Macaca mulatta: one gene and its partners. The main gene of each other region encodes a partner of the protein of the gene in region 3 in a complex. Links are inferred from orthologs where the notes say so. Each region holds a gene or a part of one and is shown on either strand. Other genes may lie near its edges.

Region 1 (7,952 bases), on a different chromosome or scaffold from region 3:
AAATATAAGATAATTCAGTGCAGGTTTGGACCACTGTACACTTCTTATCCAAGAAACAAGTGCTATATATTCAAGTTAGGTGCCATATATTCCAGGGCACCTTAATAAAGAGAGGGTCACAGTGCATGTGGAATTGCGCTGCGTTTCACTAAAGGAAAGACTCAAGGTATCACCAGGGTAGCAGTCCCCAAACCTACTTCATCAGAGAGAGCTCCCTTTAATTAAAGGGGAGGACATTTAATCCCAGACAAATAAAAATAAGACAATGGTGTTGTGAATAAACCATCTGGAGGAACTAGTGTCTTTGATGTTAGCAGGCCAAAATAAAATCTCTTTTCATTCTAGCATTTGGGAAACCCACATATCCCCAAGGCAAGCCAGCAATCTGGGAGAGATGCCCTGCCTGGGTCCAGTGAGTCAGCATTCTTGTCCTTAATTATGAGCAGAAATCCAGGGATCACCAGACACTTAAGGAAAAATTTCATCTGAAACAAATGTAATTCAGGACACAGGAAAAAACTCAAAAGATACATTAGATTGGGTCTGCAAAATTTCTCAGAATACTAAATTGAATGACCAAAACAGAGAGTAAAAAGAACACAGAATAAATCCAGGAGGTACAATGCTTAAAAGAGTCTGAGTAAGAAAATGATCACAAGTAAATAGTTTTGGTTTGTACCTATACAATCAGCTTATACACACCTATGTAATGAATTACGATATAGCTATTAAAACATTTTTTTCTTTAAAGATGGGGTCTTGCCCTGTCACCCTGGCAGGAGCACAGTACAACTCAGTGTAGCCTTGGACCCTTGGGCTCAACTGATCCTCCAGCCTCAGCCTCCTGAGTAGCTGGCACTACAAATACGAGCCACCATGCCCAGCTATACGGCTATTTTGAAAACAGACCTACATGTGCTGAAATGGAACAATAAATAAATAATAAATGATTTTAAAAACAGCACATGAAGTACACTACTGCACACCCACAGGTTACTTCTTGAGAGATGCTCAAGAAACTGGTAACTGCCTCTGGCAAAGGGAATTAGGGGTTTAGAACAGTACAAGGTTTTTTTATTTTCACTGTGCTCTTTGGAATTTTTTTTTTTTTTTTAATGAAGGGCAAACATTCTTGAAAAACTTTTTCTTTTTTTTTTGGAGACGGAGTCTCGCTCTGTCGCCCAGGCTGGAGTGCAGTGGCCAGATCTCAGCTCACTGCAAGCTCCGCCTCCCGGGTTCACGCCATTCTCCTGCCTCAGCCTCCCGAGTAGCTGGGACTACAGGCGCCCGCCACCTCACCCGGCTAGTTTTTTTTGTATTTTTTAGTAGAGACGGGGTTTCGCCGTGTTAGCCAGGATGGTCTCGATCTCCTGACCTCGTGATCCGCCCGTCTCGGCCTCCCAAAGTGCTGGGATTACAGGCTTGAGCCACCGCGCCCGGCCTGAAAAACTTTTTCTTAAACAACCATAAAGCATGGATTTCAGGAGAGAATGTAACTAGTGTCAGCTTTATAGTATAAGAGCAGTGACGGCCGGGCGCGGTGGCTCAAGCCTGTAATCCCAGCACTTTGGGAGGCCGAGATGGGCGGATCATGAGGTCAGGAGATCGAGACCATCCTGGCTAACACGTTGAAACCCCGTCTCTACTAAAAAAAAAAAAAAATACAAAAACTAGCCGGGCGACGTGGCGGGCGCCTGCAGTCCTAGCTACTCCGGAGGCTGAGGCAGGAGAATGGTGTAAGCTCGGGAGGCGGAGCTTGCAGTGAGCTCAGATCCGGCCACTGCGCTCCAGCCTGGGCGACAGAGCCAGACTCTGTCTCAAAAAAAAAAAAGAGCAGTGACACTGGACAGAAGGTAGGAGGGAGACGAGGGAAAACGTAGGGGCAAGTGCAGGGAGGATTATGAGCTACTATTCTCAGCTCTACCCCAGTTCAGCAGCCACATTCCATCCACAGGAAGGATACTCCACAAAACAGAATCCACATGCTGTTTTCTTCATTTTATCCAGACCCATAATGATTTTCTTTATGTCACCACTTTTGCTGAAGAGTTCGTAGATTTGTTCTTCGGTTGTGTAAAAAGAAAGATTTCCAACATATAACGTACAGCTTTTCTTCAGTAATTTTTCTTGTTCTTCATTGTCACCCTAGAATTTCAAAGAGAGACAAAAGCAACTTCAGAGCCTTGCTTAAATAGTATTTCTAAGTATGGTAGAAACATTCATTAATTCTGATTTGGAAATCAAATTCTCTCATCCCAGCCTACCACAAATCCCTTGCTCAAAAAAAGGGAGATGTTCACATCCTGTGAAGCACTTATGCAAAGTCCAGACTCTTAGTAGAGACAAGGCTCAAAAGTTATACCGCATACAGCAAAGTCACCCTACGCCAGACTGCCACACAAGCGGCTTTTTTCCCTGCACACGCCATCTTCTCAGCAGTGCATCCTTTCAACCAAGGTTAAACTCTGGACCTTGACCCATGTATGACAAAGGGCCCTTTTATACTCTGTAGTGAGAAATAAGTGGATTTCCAGAGAGTCCCCTTTTAATAACCCCATAGAGACTGTTTAAAGCAACAACTCTGATGCTTTACATGCTCATGTATTTTTTCTGAATTGAGGAAAAAAATGTAGTGATCACTAAAAACAAAACAGAGCTCACTTTCCTAATGGGCTTCCAAACTGGGATGACACGATGAAGCCAGAAATAAGAATATAACTGGGCTTCATCCAACACACCTGACAAATCCCTGGATCCAAAATGGCTCATCAGGGTCGCGCACAGCGGCTCACGCCTGTAATCCCAGCACTTTGGGAGGCCGAGGCGAGCGGATCACGAGGTCAGGAGATCGAGACCATCCTGGCTAACACGGTGAAACCCCGTCTCTACTAAAAAACAAAAACAAAAACAAAAACAAAAATATTAGCCGGGCGTGGTGGCGGGGCCTGTAGTCCCAGCTCGCCAGGAGAATGGCGTGAACCCGGGAGGCGGAGCTTGCAGTGAGCCGAGATCGTGCTACTGCACTCCAGCCTGGGTGACAGAGCCAGACCCCGTCTCAAAAAAAGTGCAAATCATGCCTGGCACTTAAGCATCTAAAACCTGGACTGGCCGGGGTCAGTGGTTCACGTCTGTAATCCCAGCACTTTGGGAAGCCCAGGCTGGTGGATCGCTTGAGTCCCAGAGTTTGAGACCGGCCTGAGCAACTCAGGGAGACCCTGTCTCTACAAAAAATTAGCCGGATGTAGTGTGAGAGCCTGTGGTCCCAGCTTCTCAGGAGGCTGAGGTGGGGAGGATCACTTGGGCTCAGGAGGTTGAGGCTGCATGAGCCGTGATTGCGCCACTGCACTTCAGCCTAGGCAATAGAGCGAGATTCTGTCTCAAAAAATAAAATAAATTGACCGAATTTTTTTTTTTTTTTTTTTTTTAAGTAGGAATCTCGCTCTGTTGCCCAGGCTGGAGTGCGGTGGCGCGATCTTGGCTCACCGCAACCTCCACCTTCCGGGATCAAGCAATTCTCCTGCCTCAGCCTTCCGAGTAGCTGGGATTACAGGCGCCGCCACCACGCCCGGCTAATTTTTGTATTTTTAGTAGGGATGGGGTTTCACCATCTCGGCCAGTCTGGTCTCGATCTCCTAACCTCGTGATCCACCCGCCTCAGCCTCCCAAAGTGCTGGGATTACAGGCATGAGTCACCGTGCCCGGCCTCGACTGAATAAATTTCAGAGCTTCCCTAATTTGGCGTCAAAGTTTCCTTTTCCCTACTCTAGTAACATATTTCACACGTTCTCCACACTGACCTCTGCTATATGCGCCCCCTCATTTCCCAGTCACAAGGGGATTTCTCCCCTTTTTCTGAATTCTCACAGCCTCTCTTTTAACTCACTTCCACCTTAGATTCTTTGATAATCCACACTACAGGGGATTATGAGCTCGCAGAGTACAGAAACTGTCTTCCCTTCCCCCCAGGGTTTAGCACAAGGCTTTGGTGACAGCACTCAACAAATGTTTACTAAATAACCGGGTTAATGAGTCCCGCGCCGCCACCCCTCAACCGTATTCCATCCCTACCTTTGCTGATACTGAAAAGCCTACTTTGTATATCTGCGGCCTCCCCTTTTTCCACAAAACATACTGTGATATAGTCCGGACTAAAAATTTCTCTCTTCTGAAATCCAGCAATTCTCCGATCTTCACATCCAAACACCCTCAAAGTGCCCAGCTTGGCGGGTCCCCCTCCCCACTCCGAAGCCTCCCCGAGGGCGGAGTGAGGACTTCACTTGTGTCTCCCACGCACCGCGTACAGCTTCCCTAAGACCATCCTCCCAGAGAAGGGCACTGCTTCGCCGATTTAAAAAAGAACGTAGGCCGGGCGCGGTGGCTCACACCTGTAATCCCAGCACTTTGGGAGGCCGAGATGGGCGGATCACGAGGTCAGGAGATGGAGACCATCCTGGCTAACACAGTGAAACCCCGTCTCTACTAAGAAATACAGAAAAACTAGCCGGGCGAGGTGGTGGGCGCCTGTAGTCCCAGCTACTCGGGAGGCTGAGGCAGGAGAATGGCATAAACCCGGGAGGCGGAGCTTGCAGTGAGCTGAGACCCGGCCACTGCACTCCAGCCTGGGCTACAGAGCGAGACTCCGTCTCAAAAAAAAAAAAAATAAATAAAATAAATAAAAAAAATAAAAAAGAACGTAAAAAGCCCCGAATCTGCATCAAGAAGGCGCCTCTGCACACTCTGGGAGAGAGAAGGGCACCCCGCCCTTGTTACGCAGCCATCTGCGAGGTACAACCTGGAAACGGGAGCCGCCACTACCATCAGCGCTCAGGCCTCTCGGCACCGGCTCGGGTGCAGGGAGCGGCTGGAGGGAACAGGAAAGCGAGCCTCAAATGCCCTGTCTTCCAGAGCCAGCGGCTTCAGTGATGTCCAAGCGCCCCCCCAGCACCCGCTCCCTGCCTCCCCAGCCGGCACCGGGGCCCCACTTGGCGTTTGGGGATTGCAGCAGAACGGGAGGCGACACAATGAGACAAGAGCAAACCGTTTCTCAGCGTTCTGGCCCAGGGCCTTCCCCTCTCGCGGCCCGGCCTCCCTCACCCGGAAGTGCTGGTCCCGGTACTGGCTCAGCTCCACGTAGGAGTCGCTGCGCAGCGCCTTCAGGAGGCCACCCGACATAGCGCAGAGAAGCGGACGAGGACGCGGCGATTCCCGGCACGAGGTGGCGTCTGCCGTGGCGGAAGCGGAAACGCGCGGAAGCGCGCATCTCATTGGACCCAATCCGAGGGCGGCAGTGTCGTCATCAAGCTGCGCGGGCGCAGATGACGTCCGGGTCGGGCGCCGCCGGGCGGAAGACTAGGGCGGCGAGGTCGGATTCCCGGGCGCTTGGGGAAGATGGTGCTTCGGCGGCTGCTGGCGGCCCTGCTGCACAGCCCGCAGCTGGTGGAACGCCTGTCCGAGTCTCGGCCTATCCGACGTGCGGCGCAGCTCACGGCCTTCGCTCTGCTGCAGGCCCAGCTGCGGGGCCAGGACGCGGCCCGCCGCCTGCAGGACCTCGCGGCTGGCCCCGCAGGCTCCCTGTGCCGCCGCGCTGGGCGATTCAGAGACACCTTCACCCAGGAGCTACGCCGCGGCCTCCGTGGCCGTTCGGGGCCACCACCAGGTAGCCAGAGGGGCCCTGGCGCAAACATTTAAGCCTGGGCTGTGCGGGGCCGAGGCCTTTACTTTGCCTTCCGGGCTCTACACTGGCCTCGACGTGGAGGGGTCGTTCCGGGCACTGCGCGCGGCTTCGAACCCCGACTCGGATTGTTGGCCTGCAGACATCCCACGCAGAAGAGCCTAGGCCAGACCGCAGGCTCCGCTGAAGTCCTTTGATTGGACAAGACACCGTGTGGAGAAAGACCCCGAAGCCTAACAGAGATGAAGATAGGCTGGGTCCAGACACCGCACCCGCGGAGAGCCACGGACCGAAGCCAGAGAGCCTTTCCTCTGCAGATGGAACTGACACTCTTGACAGATGCTGCTGAATCTGCACTGGTGTAGCAGGACACTTAATTCCAGGGACGATGTGAATGAAAAGACAACCCTACAACTGCCAAATTCTTTTGATTAAAAAAATGTATGAGCTGGTTAATAGGCATGAGTGTGATACTTCTCAGGCAAGATATATTGAGAATACCGGGGACTGTAGGCCTATGGCAATAATAAACACGTATTTTATGAAATGAGTATTTTGTGCTGGGACTTGCTCATTGCACTCTGCGTGTTATTTCGCTTACTCCTTACAACCACATCCGCATGAGCAAGCAGATTACTTTTTGGATTTTTTTGTAGAGATGGGGTAGTCTCGAACTCTTGGGTCCGAGTGATCGTCCTGCCTCAGCCTCCCAAAATGCTGGGATTAGAGGCAAGAGCCACTCCGATGGAAACAGAGGCTGCTGCTTAAGTTGCCCAAAGTCTTGCAGAGTGGGATGTGAGCAGAGGCATTTGATTCCAGGGCCTAAGTCCTTAACACAGCTCTGCAAGATTTACCCTGATACTTTCCTTCCTTCCCCAACCCCCCATCATCAGGCATTAAGACTACTGCCTAGGAGCAGGCGTGGTGGCAGTTGTGTCTAATCCAAGCCACTGCAGAGGAAGGAGGATCGCATGAGCCTGAGATGAGACCAGCCTGGGCAGCATAGCGAGAACCTGTCTCAAAAATAAAAAAAGACTGCTGCCTGCCATGGAATGAGCTACCTGGACTCATCCCTCATTTTAGAGGGTCAGGCATACGAAACTAAGACTATGGTCCAGCAAGTTAGTGGACCCATGATTAGGAAATCCACTGTATATACAAATGTCTTGTCATTTGAAGCTCCTAGCTAAATTTCTGATTTATTTATTTATTATTTTGAGACAGGGCCTCACTCTTGCCCAGGCTGGAGTGCAGTGGCATGATACTAGCTGTCACTGCAACCTCGACCTATTGGGCCAAGTGATCGAGCTTCCTCCCTGGGTCTCCCAAGTAGCTGGGATTACAGGCCCATGACACTATGCGCAGCTAATTAAAAACAGGTTTTTTTGTTTTTGTTTTTGAGACAGAGTCTTACTTTGTCACCAGGCTGGAGTGCAGTGGCGTGATCTCGGCTCACTGCAACGTCCACCTCCCGGGTTCAAGTGATTCCCCTGCCTCATCCTCCCGAGCAGCTGGGATTACAGATGTGCGCCACCATGCCTGGCTAGTTTTTTGTATTTTAGTAGAAATGGAGTTTCACCATGTTGGTCAGGATGGTCTTGATCTCCTGACCTTGTGATCTGCCTGCCTCAGCCTCCCAAAGTGCTGGGATTACAGGCATGAGCCACCGTGCCCAGCCACAATTTTGTTTTGTTTTGTGTTTTATGGTTGAAATGGCATTGCATTTTGTTTCCCAGGCTGGTCCTGAACTCCTGGTCTCAAGCAGTTCTCCTGCTTCTGCCTCCCAAAGTGCTGGGATTACTGGTGTGAGCCACCACACCCAGATCTGATCATTTCTAATTAGGCAACACAGATAATCATGCAATCTAGAAGCTTGAAGCCATCGGAAAAATTGAGGCTGGTAACCAGACACTAGCTGAGCATGGTGTGTTCCCTGCTCTCTGGGGCAGGATGGGAGGGCTTGAGACCCACAGTTCTTCTAAGGAGGGAGAACATCTGGCTCCCTAATCTGGGAGAATGACTTTTTTTTTTTCCCCCCAAGACCGTCTCGCTGTGTCTCCCAGGCGGGAGTGAGTGGCGCGATCTCGGCTCACTGCAACCTCCGCCTCCTGGGTTCAAGCCATTCTCCTGCCTCAGCCTCCTGAGCAGCTGGGACCACAGGCGCCGCCACCACACCCAGCTAATTTTTGTATTTTTAGTAGAGACAGGGTTTCACCATGTTGGCCAGGCTGGTCTCAACTCCTGACCTCGAGATCTGCCCGCCTTGGCCTCTCAAAGTACT
Region 2 (7,311 bases), on a different chromosome or scaffold from region 3:
TGGCTCACTGCAGCCTCTGCTGCCTGGATTCAAGCGATTCTTCTGCCTCAGCCTCCTGAGTAGCTGGGACTACAGGTGCACACCACCACGCCCAGCTAATTTTTGTATTTTTAGTAGAGACAGGTTTCACCATATTGGCCAGGCTGGTCTTGAACTCCTGACCTTGTGATCTGCCCGCCTTGGGCTCCCAAGGTGCTGGTATTACAGGCGTGAGCCACTGTGCTCATCCCACTGCATTATTTCTTTATATTAAAGTATTCATGGACCAGGCTCAGTGGCTTATACCTATATTTCCAGCAATTTGGGGGGCTAAGGCAGGCTGATAGCTTGAGCTCAGGAGTTTGAGACCAGCCTGGGCAACATGGCAAAATCCTGTCTCCACTAAAAATACAGAAAAAAAAAAAAAAGAGCTAGCTATGGTGGCATGCACCTGTAGTCCCAGCTACTTGGGAGGTTGATGTGGGAGGATCACTTGAGCCTAGGAGGTCAAGGTCAAGGCTGCAGTGAGCTGAAATTGTGCCTCTGCACTCCAGCCTGGGCGACAGAGCGAGACTCCGTCTCAAAAAAAAAAAAAAAAAAAAAAAAGTAATTCCATTTTCATTATGAATGCCATGGAGTTAGAGCTCAGATTTAGAATGTTAAGGTCTTTCTAATAGAAGTGCAAAGATAGCAGTTGGATTGAATTATGACTCATGATACTTTTGTAGGTGATCTTTGCAGAGCTGTTTCAACTTCCAGCACCCCCTCACATTGATGTGATGTACACAACACTCCTCATTGAACTGTGCAAACTTCAACCTGGCTCTCTACCCCAAGTTGTATCCTTTCCTTTGTTTTTAAACTTAATCTCTTTGGCCGGGTCTTAAAAGATTATTAAATATTTCTGCTTTGGGGTTTAAATTTTGTAGGTAAAAAATGTGGCTTTTGAAGTGTGTTATGTGTGTGTGTATTACATGTATGTATTTTTATGTCTGTAAATACATATGTACCTATAAATATGTAGATACATGCTTCACTGTTTGGGTCAGAAAGTTCAAAAATAGACAACAATGAAATTTGTTGCCTAGATTGACTTTTCCTCTCACAAAAGATTTCTCTGAAGCATGTGATGCTTGCTGTTTGATACAGCATTTTTCCCACAGTAGAACTACTTTCAGAGTTGGAATTAATCTTCTCAGACCCTGCCACTGATTTATTAGCTAGGTTTCTATGATATTCTAAATCCTTTGTTGTCATTCAGCAATGTTCCAAGGAGTGGATTCCATCTCAAAAAACCACTGTCTTTGCTCATCCATTGAAAGCAGCTTTTTATTTTTTAAAGTTTTATTATGGGATTGCAGCAATTAATAATAATGGAAAAGCTTGCTTTATTGTAAGAATTACCAGTATGTGACACAGACATGAAGCAAGCATATGCCATTGGAAAAATGGTGCCAGTAGACTTGCTTGTTGCAGGGTTGCCACAAACCTTGTTTGTTTAAAAAAAAAAAAAATGCAATTTCTGCTAAGCACAATGAAACAATGTATGCCTGTGCGTATGGAGGAGCATGGGGAAATTTGGGATCCGGTGAAAATATTATCTTGATTTCACGAGTGTGTAGAGGTCAGATTAATTATACATCACTGATATTTCAAAGCTGTAAAAAAAAAAAATCAAAAACAAGATCGATTGTATGAAAAGATGTTCAACATTATTAATCATTATAAAGACTTGAAATGTTTTATTTCTATTCTTGTCTATTACAACTTATTTGGGGTAAAAGTGGAGAATAGTTTTCCTTATCCTAAATTCACAGCTTGCACAGGCAACTGAAATGCTATACATGCGTTTGGACACAATGAACACTACCTGTGTAGACAGGTACAGTAATTGCTTTACTGCTGAGCTGAGTTAGCAGCTTTTACTTCCTGTACTTCATAAAGGAATTTGATCAAGACATTTTTAAGAATTTCCATGTTTAGTTTTTTTTCTTGCCTCCCAAAATAACCTTTGTACAATAACCAGACTCATACTTGTTTAATGTAACATTACGTTTTTTGATGTCCATGCTATGGTTTTCTTTAATTTCATTCTCTAGTCAGGTATCAAAGACTATACTTTGGCTCTGCCATTTATAAAATGTTCTATCTGCAATTTCTTTTTTTTATTTGAGATAGGGTCTTGCTCTGTCAGTCACGCAGGCTGGAGTGCAGTGGGATGAGCATAACTCATTATAACCTTGAACTTGTGGGCTCAAGCAATCCGCCTGCCTTAGCCTCCATCCTTGGTAGCTGGGATTACAGGCATGAGCCACTGTACCTGGCCTACAATTTCATCTTTTTTTTCTCTTCAGTTTCATCATCGTTTATATGAGGAAAATAATACGTACCTTGGAAGTTGTGAGAATTAAATAATAAACACGTTAGGTGCCCACACAAAACAGATACTAGAATTGTATCTGTCATTGACCTAAAAAGGATAAAGACAGTTTGCAGAAGATACAGCTGCATGTAGGGGAATATGCTTTTCATTAACTCTGTAAAATCGGGTTTTATCTGTTTGAAGGCTTATATAAGTTTCTGTTCTAAATCCCAGCCATTCTTCCTTTTTCTCTCCCCACCACCCCTTGTCTACATAGGTTTATCAATTGGTTTTCTCATCATCTGAGTAACTTCCAGTTCCGTTGGAGCTGGGAAGATTGGTAAGTGATGGTGTGTTTTATCCTACTTTTCTGTAGTCAAAAAACTGCTAATTTTTAAAACTGTAACATAAAAGTGACTGAAATATTTAATTTCTTGGAAACTATTTGTAGTTAAGTACAAATAGTTACAAGTGCAATTGTAACTTAAAACTTGTAAGTTGTTATAAGTTCACAGATAATTGTAGTACAAATGAGTGTAAGTGCAGATGATACATAAGAATTGATAAAACTACATTTCCTCCTTAGGTCAGATTGTCTTAGTCAAGATCCTGAAAGTCCCAAACCAAAGTTTGTAAGAGAAGTTCTAGAAAAATGTATGAGGTAAGTTTTTTGTGTCTTCTCCTTTGTTTAGGTCTTTTAACTTCTTTGGGAGGATTTCTTTCTCTTCTCTGCACTTGTGATATGTGTTCAGAATATTGGATTCAAAATCTACTTACTCATCTTCCATCCCATTTTTAATCAAGATTTAGGCTAAAAAAATTAGGCAACCATGCCATACAGATCCCATGTGAATTTAAGCTGGTAAGTTCTTTTAAAGATGTTACAGGCTGGGTGCAGTGGCTCACCCCTCTAATCCAGCACTTTGGGAGGCCAAGGCAGGTGGATCGCATGATGTCGGAGTTCAGACCAGCATGGCCAACATGAGGAAACCCTGTCTCTACTAAAAATATAAAAATTAGGCGTGGTGGCACACACCTGTAATCCCAGCTACTTGGGAGGCTGAGGCAGGAGAGTCGCTTGAGCCAAGATTGCGCCTTTGCACTGCAGCCTGGCCGACAGAGTGATACTCTCATCTCAAAAAAATAAAATTAAAAAAAAAGATGTTATATATGAAATGAATTCAGATTTATAGAAAAGTTGGCACAACAGTACCAAGAATTCTGTATCCTGTTCACCTAGATTCCGTAGCTATTAACATTTTATCATGTTTGCTCTCATGCTCACTCCCTTTTCCTCTCTCTCTAGAGACCCGTTATGTTGGTTTTCCTTTGAGAATCAGCTGCATACCCAGCTGATGTAACAGCCCATTATCCTTTAATGTTCCATTACATATCTTCCCAAAACAAAACCACTCTCCTACCTAGCAAGCATACAGCCTTCTAGATCAGGAAATTAGCTCTGGTACAATCCTACCACAGAATTCACAGGTGCTGCTGAAATTTTGCCAGCCATCCCAACGTCTGTATTTCCTGTCTAGTCTATAATTTTTTTTTTTTTTTTTTTTTTGGAGACAGAGTCTCACTCTGTCACCCAGGCTGGAGTGCAGTGGCGCGCGATCTCCACTCACTGCAAGCTCCGCCTCCCATGTTCACGCCATTCTCCTGCCTCAGCCTCCCAAGTAGCTGGGACTAAAGGCGCCCGCCACCATGCCTGGTTAATTTTTTGTAGTTTTAGTAGAGATGGAGTTTCACTGTGTTAGCCAGGATGGTCTCAATCTCCTGACCTCGTGATCCACCCGCCCGAGCCTCCCAAAGTGCTGGGATTACAGGTGTGAGCCACTGCGCCCGGCCTGGTCTGGAATCTTATCCAGGTATATGTGTAGTGTTGAGTTGTCATTCTCTCAGATTCCTTCAGTCTTGAACACTTATTATTTTTCTCTCTTTGTGTTTATACCAGTTTGAAAGAGTCTAGACCTTACTTGGATTGCTCTGATATTTCTCATGAGCAAATTGAGGTCTTAAATTGTTAATGCTCTTGGTGTGTCACATCTAGAGGCACATGATTCCCACCCCTGGTGATGTTAATCTTGATCCACCTGGTCATGTCAATATCTGCCAGCTTTCTCTACCTTAACCTCACCATTTTTCTCTTTAGTAGAATTGATCAGTATTTTGTGGGAGATATTTTGAAGTTTTACTCTTACTCTGTTCTTCATCAGATCTCCATCCTGCTTTTAGCAGCTACCAGTAAGATGGTTGCCAAGTGATGATTTTCTCATTCCATTATTTTTTCTGCATTTATTAATGGGCCTTCTGTAAGAGCTGTCCTTTCTCCCCCATTTATTTATTCCTTTATTTATATATCAGTGGGGACTAATTAATTTATATTTCATTCGCTGGGTTATAAACTATGAGGATCATTTATTTTGATGCCCAAATTGTCCCTGATATGTACATGAGGAGTCCCGGTAAGCTCTCTCTGTTTTTTGTTTGTTTTTGTCTTTGTTTTTAATGTCCCCCGCCATTCATTGAGCATTTCCTTATTTTCTAGAACAACATGTTTAGGATCATCTTGCGTATTTCTCCTAAATACCATATTCCGTTAGTAAAGGACTAATTAGTAAAGGACTAATGGAATACGGTATTTAGGAGCCAAGATCTGGGCACTTGATATGCTCATTGCCATTGGGGTGTCATTGGTTCTAAGCCTCTTGGTGGACACACATCCATCCATCCATAACTATTTTTATGTCCACCTGTGTGTATATATGCCTCAATTTCCAACTCAATACCTTATTTCTACACTTCTTCTCTACCATGGTTTGTAAATACCTTCTCAGGCAGTAAGAAACTTGGCTCCCATTATCCTCAATATTTATTTATTTGATACAATGTAGCCAGTCTCCAAAGTGTACGGACTGTCATCTTCACCACACCCCATCATCACCCCACATCCTTGGCCACCAGGCTCATGAGCTCACTCACCCATACCTCAGTTGCAAGCCAGTAAGTTCCGCAGTATGCCTGAGATTTGGTGTGCTGCCTTAGACAAAAACTCAAAGGATTTTTTTTCCTTTCACTCTTGGTTGTCAGCTGAGTTCAAGTTGTTGGAGATTGTGACTTTCTAGGTAAGTTGGGTGTTACCAAAGAATGGGACTGATAAAAGATATTTTCTGAGGCTGTTATTTGTATTGTAGGTTGTCTTACCATCAGCGTATATTAGATATTGTTCCTCCTACCTTCTCAGCTCTATGTCCTGCAAACCCAACCTGCATTTACAAGTATGGAGATGAAAGTAGCAGTAAGTAACGAAACAAATCCCTCTGTCTTTAAAAGGTACCAGTTCAAATATATTTAAATTAGTTGTTTAAAGTGGAGAAATTGAACTTTTTCTTTTCTTGGGGTTTATATTTCCTGTATTCGAAGGGTAGTCTAGCATTAGCCACTGTTTTATTTGCCCTGTCATCATTTTGAGGATTTGGTTGTGATAAAATTAATTACTACTGGCTTATCTTTTCTTTCTCTTTTGAATGTGTTAAGTATAGCAAGATGAATTTATAGTTAGATCTTACTAAACTGCAAATGCGTATTTGTCATGGTGATGGAGATTACTTGAATTAATTATCTTTTTCAGGTGTGGTATTGAGAACATAGATGTACATATTCTGTGGCAGTATGCCTTTAAAAGTAAATTCTTAATTATTATTTTCTTACCTTTTGGTCACATAATCTCTGAAATTGCACCATAAATCAGGGAGTGTAATTTGATGTGCCATTTTGCCCTTTGCACAGTATTTACACTTAATGTAGGTAGAGTATTATACATTGTTGATCACTGGTGGAGTTAGGTGTGGAGTTTTTTCCAACTTATCCTTTGCAGATTACACTTAACACAGCCCCTCCATGATCCTTCCATTTCATGTTGTGTAGAGGTTCTTTGCATCTCACAACTATCTGCTGTTCCTTGCTTTTCATACCATACGCCTGTTTCTCCACCTCTGTCTGTGATTGTACCTGTTTCCTTTGAAATAAACTGTGTTGGTCCTGGTACATTTCCTATTTAATTATGTCAACTCTGAAAAATAGATATGATTATCAAAACTACAATGAGGAAATGGCTTCCAAGAGGTCAAACTAGAATGAGATTGCTTCTGAGTGGTGGAGCCCAAATTCAGGCGTAGGTGCACTGCTGAGTGGCCATGCCTTAGCCACTGTGCTTTCTGGCAGATCAAAGGTTCATGCAGCACTTAGAAGTGCCAGGTTTTGAGTTTTGTCTTGTACTCGTTCCGAGAATGATAAAGTACAGTCTTTGCTGTCAGAAAGCTCAGACTTTTGTTGAAGATTAAGCTTTCTTTTTCCCCATAGGAATAACTCAGCCTAACATTTCAAGGCCTTCATAACCATTGTTCCTACTTTGTTATTTTTCACTTCTCCCGACATGGGCCTCTACTTCTCCCAGGTCCATGTCCTTTTTTATTTTTTCCATACTGTTTGTTCTTGGCTTTGCTATTACCCCAGTCTGGAAAGTCCTTTCTAGCTCCACTTGCTTTTCTCCTTCTAGATTCTAGCCCAAGCTCAATAGCTGTAAATACTTTTTAACCTTTAGTAAGCCAGTTTTGTATTGCTCCCTGGCTGTGTCTAATGTGAATATCTTGGTTCTCCAGCTGGAATGTAGACTGGTGACAGGGGATTCTGTTTTTCTTCGCCTTCTTTCTTTTAGAGAAAAAGCTCACAGCAGGTGTAATATGACCATCCTCACGTGACTGTTGTAATTTACTTCATTCATTCCAGTAACTCGTACTCCATGACAGGATTGCCTTTTTTGTTACCTCTTTGTCTACCTTACATTAAAAGCAGATTTCTTGTTGCTCTGGTGATGCCTTACGGTGTATATTAGCACAAATTTTTATAATAAGGACTTAACTGATACCAATAGTAAATACAAGGAGTCCTATCACATGAGCATCTGA
Region 3 (7,897 bases):
AACTCTCCTCAGCTTCCCCTGAAATAATTCATTCTTCCTCTACCCCTGAAGCTCTAGTTGCCTGGAAAGCCTTCTTCATTCCTCCTTCTCTACCTCAGTATCACTATTCTTGTTTCCTGGCACTGTTTGCTTCTTAACCTTAGAATCACAGAGCTCTAGGCACTTCAGAGATCTTTCTATTGTCCTACATTTGACACATGTGGAAACAAAGGCCAAAGGAGGTCAAGGGGCAGCAAGCTAGCAACAGGGCTGGGCTTGAAAACAGCCAGGCCTCTGATAGCTTGATCCCAAGTTCTTTCCCTTTTCACTCCACCACAGCAGTTTTCTCCTAACACGAGGAAACAAATACCTGTGGCCTTTCCCTTTCTCCTTTTGGGCCTCTGCCCCCCACAGACTTCTACCCAAAGGCTGCTGCCGTTTGGGAATGAAGTGTTCCAAGTTTTCAGCACATTCTCCTTCTCTGCCAGATGAAAGCCAGTCTCTGAGTCTCTGTGGCATGGTTTGGGAACACAGCGAGGGTACCGATTACCACAAGCAACCATGGCAGGCCAAGATCTCAGTCACTGTAAGCACAGAATCCCAGTAGTGAGGACTTGGGGGAGGTGAGGTCAAGGTGAAATGGGAGTAGGGGAAGGGCAAAATGGCCGTAAGAGATGGTGGTTTGTGAAAGTTGAGTTTTCCCTTTCTACTGTTCTGTTCCCAGCGCCCTTCGAAGGGACATGAGAGCTGTATGGGGGCTGTGGTGTCTGAGTACTTTGTGCTGACAGCAGCACATTGTTTTACTGTGGACGACAAGGAACACTCAATCAAGGTCAGCGTGGGTAAGGATGCAACTGAAGGTCCCGGGCTGCACCTACGCCCTCCAGGCAACACCTCCCACTTTCTACAGATCCCACACTCCACTCATCTGCAATGCAGCCCCATCCCTTGCACCCCAGACCAGTCAGGGATGGGGAAGACTTGAAGTTAGGAATGACATGGGGCCAGAGGCAAGAAGCTGCCCACAAAGAGGTGGTACCTATTCTCCTACTTCAAGGGAAGAAGCGGGACCTGGAGATAGAAAAAGTCCTATTTCACCCCGACTACAACATTAGCGGGAAAAAAGAAGCAGGAATTCCTGAATTTTATGACTATGACGTTGCCCTGATCAAGCTCAAGAATAAGTTGAATTATGACCCGACTATCAGGTGAGAGCATCCAGATCCCTGAGGAAAGGCTGGGAAAGGCTGGAGGACTGGGGTGAGGAGCAGGCCTAGTTTGCTGTTCTTTCTCCATCCTTTATAGGCCCATTTGTCTCCCCTGCACCGAGGGAACAACTCGAGCTTTGAGGCTTCCTCCAACTACCACTTGCCAGCAACAGAGTAAGACATACTAGGGGGGAGGATAAGGATGAGATCCCGAGACAAGTGAGGCATGAGAGGGAGATGCAATAGGAAGAGACGATGCCTGGCCCAGAACCTAGCACTAGGAAGGGCTTAGGGGACATCTGCTGAGTGACAAAGTCAATAGGGAGATGACAGTGGTGGGAGCAGCTGAAGTGATGCAGTCTATTTGTCCAGAGGAAGAGCTGCTCCCTGCACAGGATATCAAAGCTCTGTTTGTGTCTGAGGAGGAGAAGAAGCTGACTCGGAAGGAGGTCTACATCAAGAATGGGGATAAGGTGAGAAATGGGCATCCTAAGGAGGCACTCTAGGCCCTAATCCTTCCTAAGCCACCTCTGTTCATTACCTTTCTCCATGCTTCCCACCTCCCCTACAGAAAGGCAGCTGTGAGAGAGATGCTCAATATGCCCCAGGCTATGACAAAGTCAAGGACATCTCGGAGGTGGTCACCCCTCGGTTCCTTTGTACTGGAGGAGTGAGTCCCTATGCTGACCCCAATACTTGCAGAGGTGAGAGAACGCTCTCTGGTTGTGCTCCAAGTGCCCGAGGGCCAAGAGTCCTTTTCCCTACAGCTTCTCCTCTCCTTGCAGGTGATTCTGGCGGCCCCTTGATAGTTCACAAGAGAAGTCGTTTTATTCAAGTGAGTCCTCCCTTTCCTATCTGGGGAGATGCCAAGTGGTCAGCATGGGCCCCAAAGCAGGAAAGCACAATGCATGTGGCTAGTAATTCGAGGTGGGCAGAGCCTGCCTCACTTTAGGACTGCATGTCTGGCCTGTGTGTGTCAAGAATGAGGCTGAGCTGGGTCCCTAGCCTGATTCCTTTAGGTCAGCTAAGACACAATCAGGAACAGTCATGCTTCCAGGATTAGGAATTCTATGAATGATCCATGGCACCCCACTGCCTCTGCAGGTTGGTGTCATCAGCTGGGGAGTAGTGGATGTCTGCAAAAACCAGAAGCGGCAAAAGCAGGTACCTGCTCACGCCCGAGACTTTCACGTCAACCTCTTCCAAGTGCTGCCCTGGCTGAAGGAGAAACTCCAAGATGAGGATTTGGGTTTTCTCTAAGGGGTTTCCTGCTGGACAGGGGCGCGGGATTGAATTAAAACAGCTGCGACAACACTTGTGTTCCAGATCCTTTTGGGGCAAGGGAGTGGGGAACGGGCACTGGCCATGTTGTTACACTGAGATCAAACCTGACACCCATTTTTAAAGGCTTAACCCCAATCCCAAGTGCTGAAAAACCAGAGGCTGAGGGAGATATGTAAGCTTCCACCTCAGTGTTTTACTGAGACCAGCATTGGGGCATTTGAGGCACAAGGAATCCAGCTCTGTTCCCTAGAAGCCATCCACAAGGTTTTCCTTGTAGACGTCATCACTGTAGACAATCTGGGTCCTCTTGTCCCGGTGGCAACCCTTAGGGCTGTTCTGGACAGCTAGGGAGGGAGAAGAGGAACAGTTAAGGTCTAAAGGAGATCATAGATCAGACCCTGAGGCTGACTCCTGACCACCTCAGTCCTGGCTGCTGGCCCCTGGAAACCCAGTTTCCACGCTGCCCTCTGGTGGCCAGGATGGCCTGTCTTCCTTAGCTCCTTTGTGCCAACCCATGGCCAAGGAGAGTGTAAGTGGACATTTTGATGAATGTTTTGTTCTTAGAAAAATCCCAAATGTCATTGTTGAGATATATGAATGATATTAACCCACTACTTATAGTCAGTATGTCAGAAGCTAAAAACTAGAAAACCTCTGTAGCCCTTTATTGACATGCTGGTCAACTCTAGTTCCTTTCTTTTGCCTGAAAGGCCACTGTTGCTCTGAGTCCTTCTTTCTGCTCACTCCCTTCCCAGGAAAATCTACTTTCAGGTAAATGGGTTACTCATACTAAGGAATGCTACTAGCTCCACCAGAACTCATCCAGCATGTAGCTTTGGCCCTCACCATTCTCTCTCAAGCCTCTAGCTGTTTCTTCCCCTTCCTCTTTTCCTCCCTCCACCAGACATGTTACTCTCTTCACCCCATCCAAAGATTCCATCCCCACCACCCTTGACCTAGAGAGAATCTCTCCCACCCACTTCTCATCCTGTGATCTCTGTACCTTGACACTGCTGGCTACTCCCTCTTTCTCAAAGCATGTGTCCTTTCGCTTCAGTGGCCCAGGCCCCTCTGGTGCTGCTCCCAGCCCTCTGACCCCTCCTCCTGTCTCCTTTGCTAACGTTAGGCTCAACGTTAGCCTAACGTGTCAGGAGAGCTGGAGACACGTGGGGCGTAAGGTGGACAGTCCTGTTTCCTAACATAGTCCCTGAGTATTCCTCAAGTCTAGTCCTGGGTCGTTTTTTTTCTCCGAAATCAGTCTCCCTCATGATCGGGGAGCCACCCTGTGATGCAGATGACTTAATCTATGTTTTCATTCCTTACCTCACACCTGAGTTCCAGACCCCTAATTTCAAATACTTACGAAATTCACTCTACTCCATCTCAAAATGAACAAGCCCCATGAGACACTCATCTTTCTCACCAATCTCACTCCAGCTCCCATTTTCTTCCCTGTTCCAGTCGCTGCTTTGGAAGCTGTTCTCAATCCTTTTCTCTCCTTTCTTTACCTCTAACTAACAGATGATCTGAAATTTTCCTTCCCATTCCCACAGCCTCTGCACACACTCTGACCTCGATAATCTCTAGGAAACCCAAGGATGTGTGGGGGAACCAAAAGGAGTGTGCTGTAGGGGAGAGGACGGGAAAGAAAATCCCATTCTTACCGAGGGAGCCCCAGACAGACTTGCCAGTAGCGGCATCCAGCATGGGCTGTTTCCGGGCTATGTTGACTTTGAGCTGTACAGACTCCACCTGGGTCCCGTTGAGCTAAAGCAGAAGAGGGGAGGCAGAGGATGGGGAGGAAAACATTACAGATACACCAAAGAAGCTATTCCAGGAGTTGCTATCCTAGGAGTAGACTGAATAAGGAATCTGAGAATGTAAGTTTTTCTGTGTGAATAGGGAGAGACTTTATCAAGAGGAACCAACTTCTTCCTGGCATCTAGTATTTTGATGAGAACACATGAGAACAGCAGAGGCGATGGGAAGAACAGATTTGCGAAGTTCCAACCTCAGCAACGGCCTGATCTGCTGACTCCATCTTTTCATAGGTGACGAAGGCACAGCTGGGATAAGAAAAAACAGGGTCAGTGGAGAGCCAAGGGGCTCTTCTGGACCCAACCAAACCCAGCGATCACAGGCGGCTGCCGGGAGGGCAGCTTCCTCCCTCAAGTCTCACACCCCAGGATTCGCCCAGGACTTCTCATCATGCCCTGTCGTCATCCTTACTTTCTGGGTGGGTCCATGGAGAGGTCAATGATGTTTCCAAAAGGAGAGAAGGCCCCACGGAGAAGGGTAGGCGTCATGTCTTCTCCGTATACATAGAGAGTATTCCCTTTCCTAGGGGCTCGCCGTTCAGGGAAGGAGTCCGACCCTTTGGGAGCAGGAATCACAGTCACAAGACATGGTCCATCCCACACTTCACTTAGTAGGACCCACATAAACCTCAGTTAAGGTCACCTTGACCTCCAGCCAAGATCACTCACTGCGGAAAGGACCCTCTCGGTCTCGGTCTCGATCCCGCTCCCGATCCCTGTCCCGTTCCCGGTCTCGATCTCGATCTCGATCTCGATCCCGATCCCGATCCCGATCCCTGTCCCGCTCTCGGTCTCTGTCTCGATCCCGCTCCCGATCTCGGTCTCTGTCCCGGTTCCTCTCATGGCTGCGGTCCCGGCTGCGGCTTCGGGGAGGGGAGGCTGAGGAGTGGGCACCACTGCGTTCTTCATAGCCCCAGTCAAAGCTTCGAGGGGGACCATCACCAGCCCCTGGGCCCTCTGCCTCTTCTCCATCTGGCCCTAGTTCTCGAAGTCGATCACTAGAAGACACAAAGCTGGGGAGATGCAGACTGAAGATCAAAGGGGGGTTTTACCTTCTCCCCTTGGACCCTGTGGAGACTCAATATTCCCTCAATAGCACAGCTTCTACAGCCCAAACCTCCCAAGGACTCAGGCAATCAACCCCGCCAAGTGGGCCCAGTCTTATCTCTACTCTCTAACCTCTCATACAGAGATTTCCTCTGGGGACGTCTAGATGACTGTAAAAGAGACCAAGAACAGTTAAGATGATTCCCAGTTGCTAACATGTAGTCCAAAATAAGTTAGTTTCTCATGTTCCTCCATCCCCAACCCCTCAGGGACAGAAATTAGAAGCCTTTACCTCTTGCAGGTCATCATCAGCAGATATGCTCCTCTGGAACGGCTGGAAAGTGGGGACTGGTCCCTTCTCGGGGTCCTGGAGAGGGGAGAGACCTACCTCAGTGTGGAGCAGGAGGCTGCCCAACCATGGAACAGAGATGTTCCTCTTCCCTCACCCTCTTCTAGATCTCCTCTGATCTCTTCTTTCCTTTTAACACTATATACATTTCTTATTTGACTATGTGGTTTTATTTATTTGTTTTTATTTTTTGAGACAGGGTCTTGCTCTGTTGTCCAGGTTGGAGTGCAATGGTGCAATCATAGCTTGCTGCAGCCTTGACCTCCCAGGCTCAAGCAATCCTCCTACCTTAGCCTCCCTAGTAGCTGAGACTAGAGATGCGCTCTACCATGCTTGGCTAATTTCTGTTTTGTTTTTGTTTTTTTTTTTTTGTAGAGATAGGGTTTCACTATGTTGCCAGGGCTGGTCTCAAATTCCTGGGCTCAAGCAATCCTCCTACCTTGGCCTCCTAAAGTGCTCTAATTATAGGAATGAGCCACTGCCACACCTGCCATTGCAGCTTTTTGGTTTTGTTTTGAGATAGAGTCTTGCTCTGTCGCCCAGGGTGGAGTACAGTGGTGCGATCTCCACTCACTGCAACCTGTGCCTCCTGGGTTCAAGCAATTCTCTGGCCTCAGACTCCTCAGTAACTGGGACTATAGGCGTGCATCACCATGCCCTGCGAATTTTTGTTATGTTTAGTAGAGACGGGTTTCACCATGTTGGCCAGGTTGGTCTCAAACTCCTAACCTCAAGTGATCTGCCCACCTTGGCCTCCCAAAGTGCTGGGATTATAGGCATGAGCCACCACGCCTGGCTGATACTTTTTATAAGTGACTTGATATGTTATATGTTCAGTTTATTTCAACCTCTCTTGAATCTGATAACATTTTCTGCCCTTTCCATCCCTTAGAGCGACATATTCCAAGAGCTCCAATCCAAAGTGGATTAGAACTACAAAATTTGTAAAATGGAGAATTCAGGAGTCATCTAGTTTTTTCATTTAATATTTGAGAGGCAAAACTCAGAATGGTACAGCAATTTGCCAGTGCTCGAGTATGCATATTTTTCCCCAAACCCATCTACATTCCAACTTGGAGGGATGCCCTCTAAACAATCCTTCTGTTTGTGCTCACCTTTAACTTCCCCTCAAGGGTTCGAGAACGCTTGAAGCCTGAGTTCTTGGTCTCAGCCTTGATGGCACTGATGGCTCCTGATTTCACCAGCTGCTTTGCCTGCTCTGTTGCTGTGGCTGTGTCCACGACAGGCTGCTCTGATAGTGCTGGAGTGATAAGGGGAAGAGGCATTATGTTGACCAGGCCATGATGAAGGTCAGCCCCATGCTGCCCACTTCCAGTCCATCCCCATTTCCCCTGTCACTCACAGCGTTTGACACCGCCTTGGCTGGTTGTGCTGCTGCTACTTTGCTTCTTCAGAGCCAGCAATGCCTTTTTCTGGGAACAAGGGTGAGAGGAGAGAGGTCAGTGAGGGCCAGCCCCTAGCCGGTTCCTCTCCCAAGACCCCTGGGCACATCACTCCAGGGACCATCTTTCTTGATGTCTTTAGAGTGGTGCATTGATGTGCTCTGCCTCTTGCCTCTGGTCCCCTAGATCATGAATGATGCCGGAAATTCCTAATCTAACCAAACCACGGAACCCAGAGGTTTTCCAGAGTGTTACATTTTTGAGGTTGAAGACAAAGAATTTGATCATGGACTAGAATCCTAGGATATAAGCTGCAAGTAAGTATAAGTCTATGTGCCTTTCCTGGAGGCTTCATCCATCTATTTCCTGCATATTGAATAAGGCCCAGACATGACTTTGTAACAGGGATATCCAGGAGGATAAAGCATTGTTTCTACCCTCAAGAAGCTTATAGTCTGAGAAATAAAAATAAACTGAGTGAGTTAGCAACGCGGTAAGAGGTGCAGATTATTCATAGCTGAAAGCTAGTAAGATTTTCTGATGTTTAATGGCTATTAAACTAGGCCCTCCCCCGTATCTCTGCACGACACAGAGAGAAGAAGGGTATTTTAGAAAAAGAAGACAGGATGGCAAACATGCAGCGGTAAGAACGCTTTGGGAATGCATGTTTTGGGAGTAGTGAATAGTTCTACTTTACTAGACAAGGCTGCCAAACTAAGGTTTTGGGGCTTTGTTATATAGACAATGTGAAGCCATTTATGGTTTTTGAGAAACAGAGGGAGCAGAATTTTGTGTTTTCAATGGATCGTT

Evidence for each region.
Region 1: the proteins of NELFE (region 3) and NCBP2 are in contact, whole or in part, in a crystal structure (PDB 5OOB), measured with the Homo sapiens proteins. The link is inferred for Macaca mulatta from reciprocal best matches to the Homo sapiens genes NELFE and NCBP2. Residues at the interface, in NP_002895.3 of Homo sapiens: Lys361, Arg362, Gln364, Ile365, Val366, Tyr367, Asp369, Tyr372; in NP_031388.2 of Homo sapiens: Phe49, Tyr50, Thr51, Thr52, Glu53, Gln55, Lys68, Ile69, Ile70, Met71, Leu73, Lys77, Lys78, Thr79, Ala80, Asp107, Glu121, Gln124.
Region 2: the proteins of NELFE (region 3) and NCBP1 are in contact, whole or in part, in a crystal structure (PDB 5OOB), measured with the Homo sapiens proteins. The link is inferred for Macaca mulatta from reciprocal best matches to the Homo sapiens genes NELFE and NCBP1. Residues at the interface, in NP_002895.3 of Homo sapiens: Arg362, Ile365, Val366, Tyr367, Ser368, Asp370, Val371, Tyr372, Gly379, Phe380; in NP_002477.1 of Homo sapiens: Tyr461, Lys511, Lys557, Ser558, Ser560, His561, Ser564, Lys568, Ile609, Arg610, Gln612, Cys616, Lys647, Met648, His651, Glu705.

The regions. Positions count from the first base shown.
Region 1 is NC_133407.1:2,487,125-2,495,076, forward strand, and holds the start of NCBP2 (nuclear cap-binding protein subunit 2), read right to left. Parts: upstream 5,221-7,952; 5' UTR 5,173-5,220; coding exon 5,095-5,172; exon of another isoform or gene 4,069-5,094; intron 2,889-4,068; exon of another isoform or gene 2,739-2,888; intron 2,146-2,738; coding exon 1,964-2,145; exon of another isoform or gene 1,925-1,963; intron 1-1,924. Other genes in the region: protein NCBP2AS2, read left to right, coding at 5,389-5,688. UniProt on the Homo sapiens protein: Component of the cap-binding complex (CBC), which binds co-transcriptionally to the 5' cap of pre-mRNAs and is involved in various processes such as pre-mRNA splicing, translation regulation, nonsense-mediated mRNA decay, RNA-mediated gene silencing (RNAi) by microRNAs (miRNAs) and mRNA export.
Region 2 is NC_133420.1:60,743,348-60,750,658, reverse strand, and holds part of NCBP1 (nuclear cap-binding protein subunit 1), read left to right. Parts: intron 1-707; coding exon 708-818; intron 819-1,796; coding exon 1,797-1,861; intron 1,862-2,618; coding exon 2,619-2,681; intron 2,682-2,927; coding exon 2,928-3,002; intron 3,003-5,538; coding exon 5,539-5,642; intron 5,643-7,311. UniProt on the Homo sapiens protein: Component of the cap-binding complex (CBC), which binds cotranscriptionally to the 5'-cap of pre-mRNAs and is involved in various processes such as pre-mRNA splicing, translation regulation, nonsense-mediated mRNA decay, RNA-mediated gene silencing (RNAi) by microRNAs (miRNAs) and mRNA export.
Region 3 is NC_133409.1:150,354,621-150,362,517, reverse strand, and holds the end of NELFE (negative elongation factor E), read right to left. Parts: intron 7,118-7,897; coding exon 7,048-7,117; intron 6,946-7,047; coding exon 6,800-6,945; intron 5,703-6,799; coding exon 5,628-5,702; intron 5,506-5,627; coding exon 5,468-5,505; intron 5,302-5,467; coding exon 4,958-5,301; intron 4,846-4,957; coding exon 4,701-4,845; intron 4,538-4,700; coding exon 4,483-4,537; intron 4,239-4,482; coding exon 4,136-4,238; intron 2,816-4,135; coding exon 2,718-2,815; 3' UTR 2,503-2,717; downstream 1-2,502. Other genes in the region: CFB (complement factor B), read left to right, coding at 468-565, 704-839, 1,037-1,187, 1,285-1,361, 1,560-1,660, 1,759-1,891, 1,973-2,022, 2,292-2,447. UniProt on the Homo sapiens protein: Essential component of the NELF complex, a complex that negatively regulates the elongation of transcription by RNA polymerase II.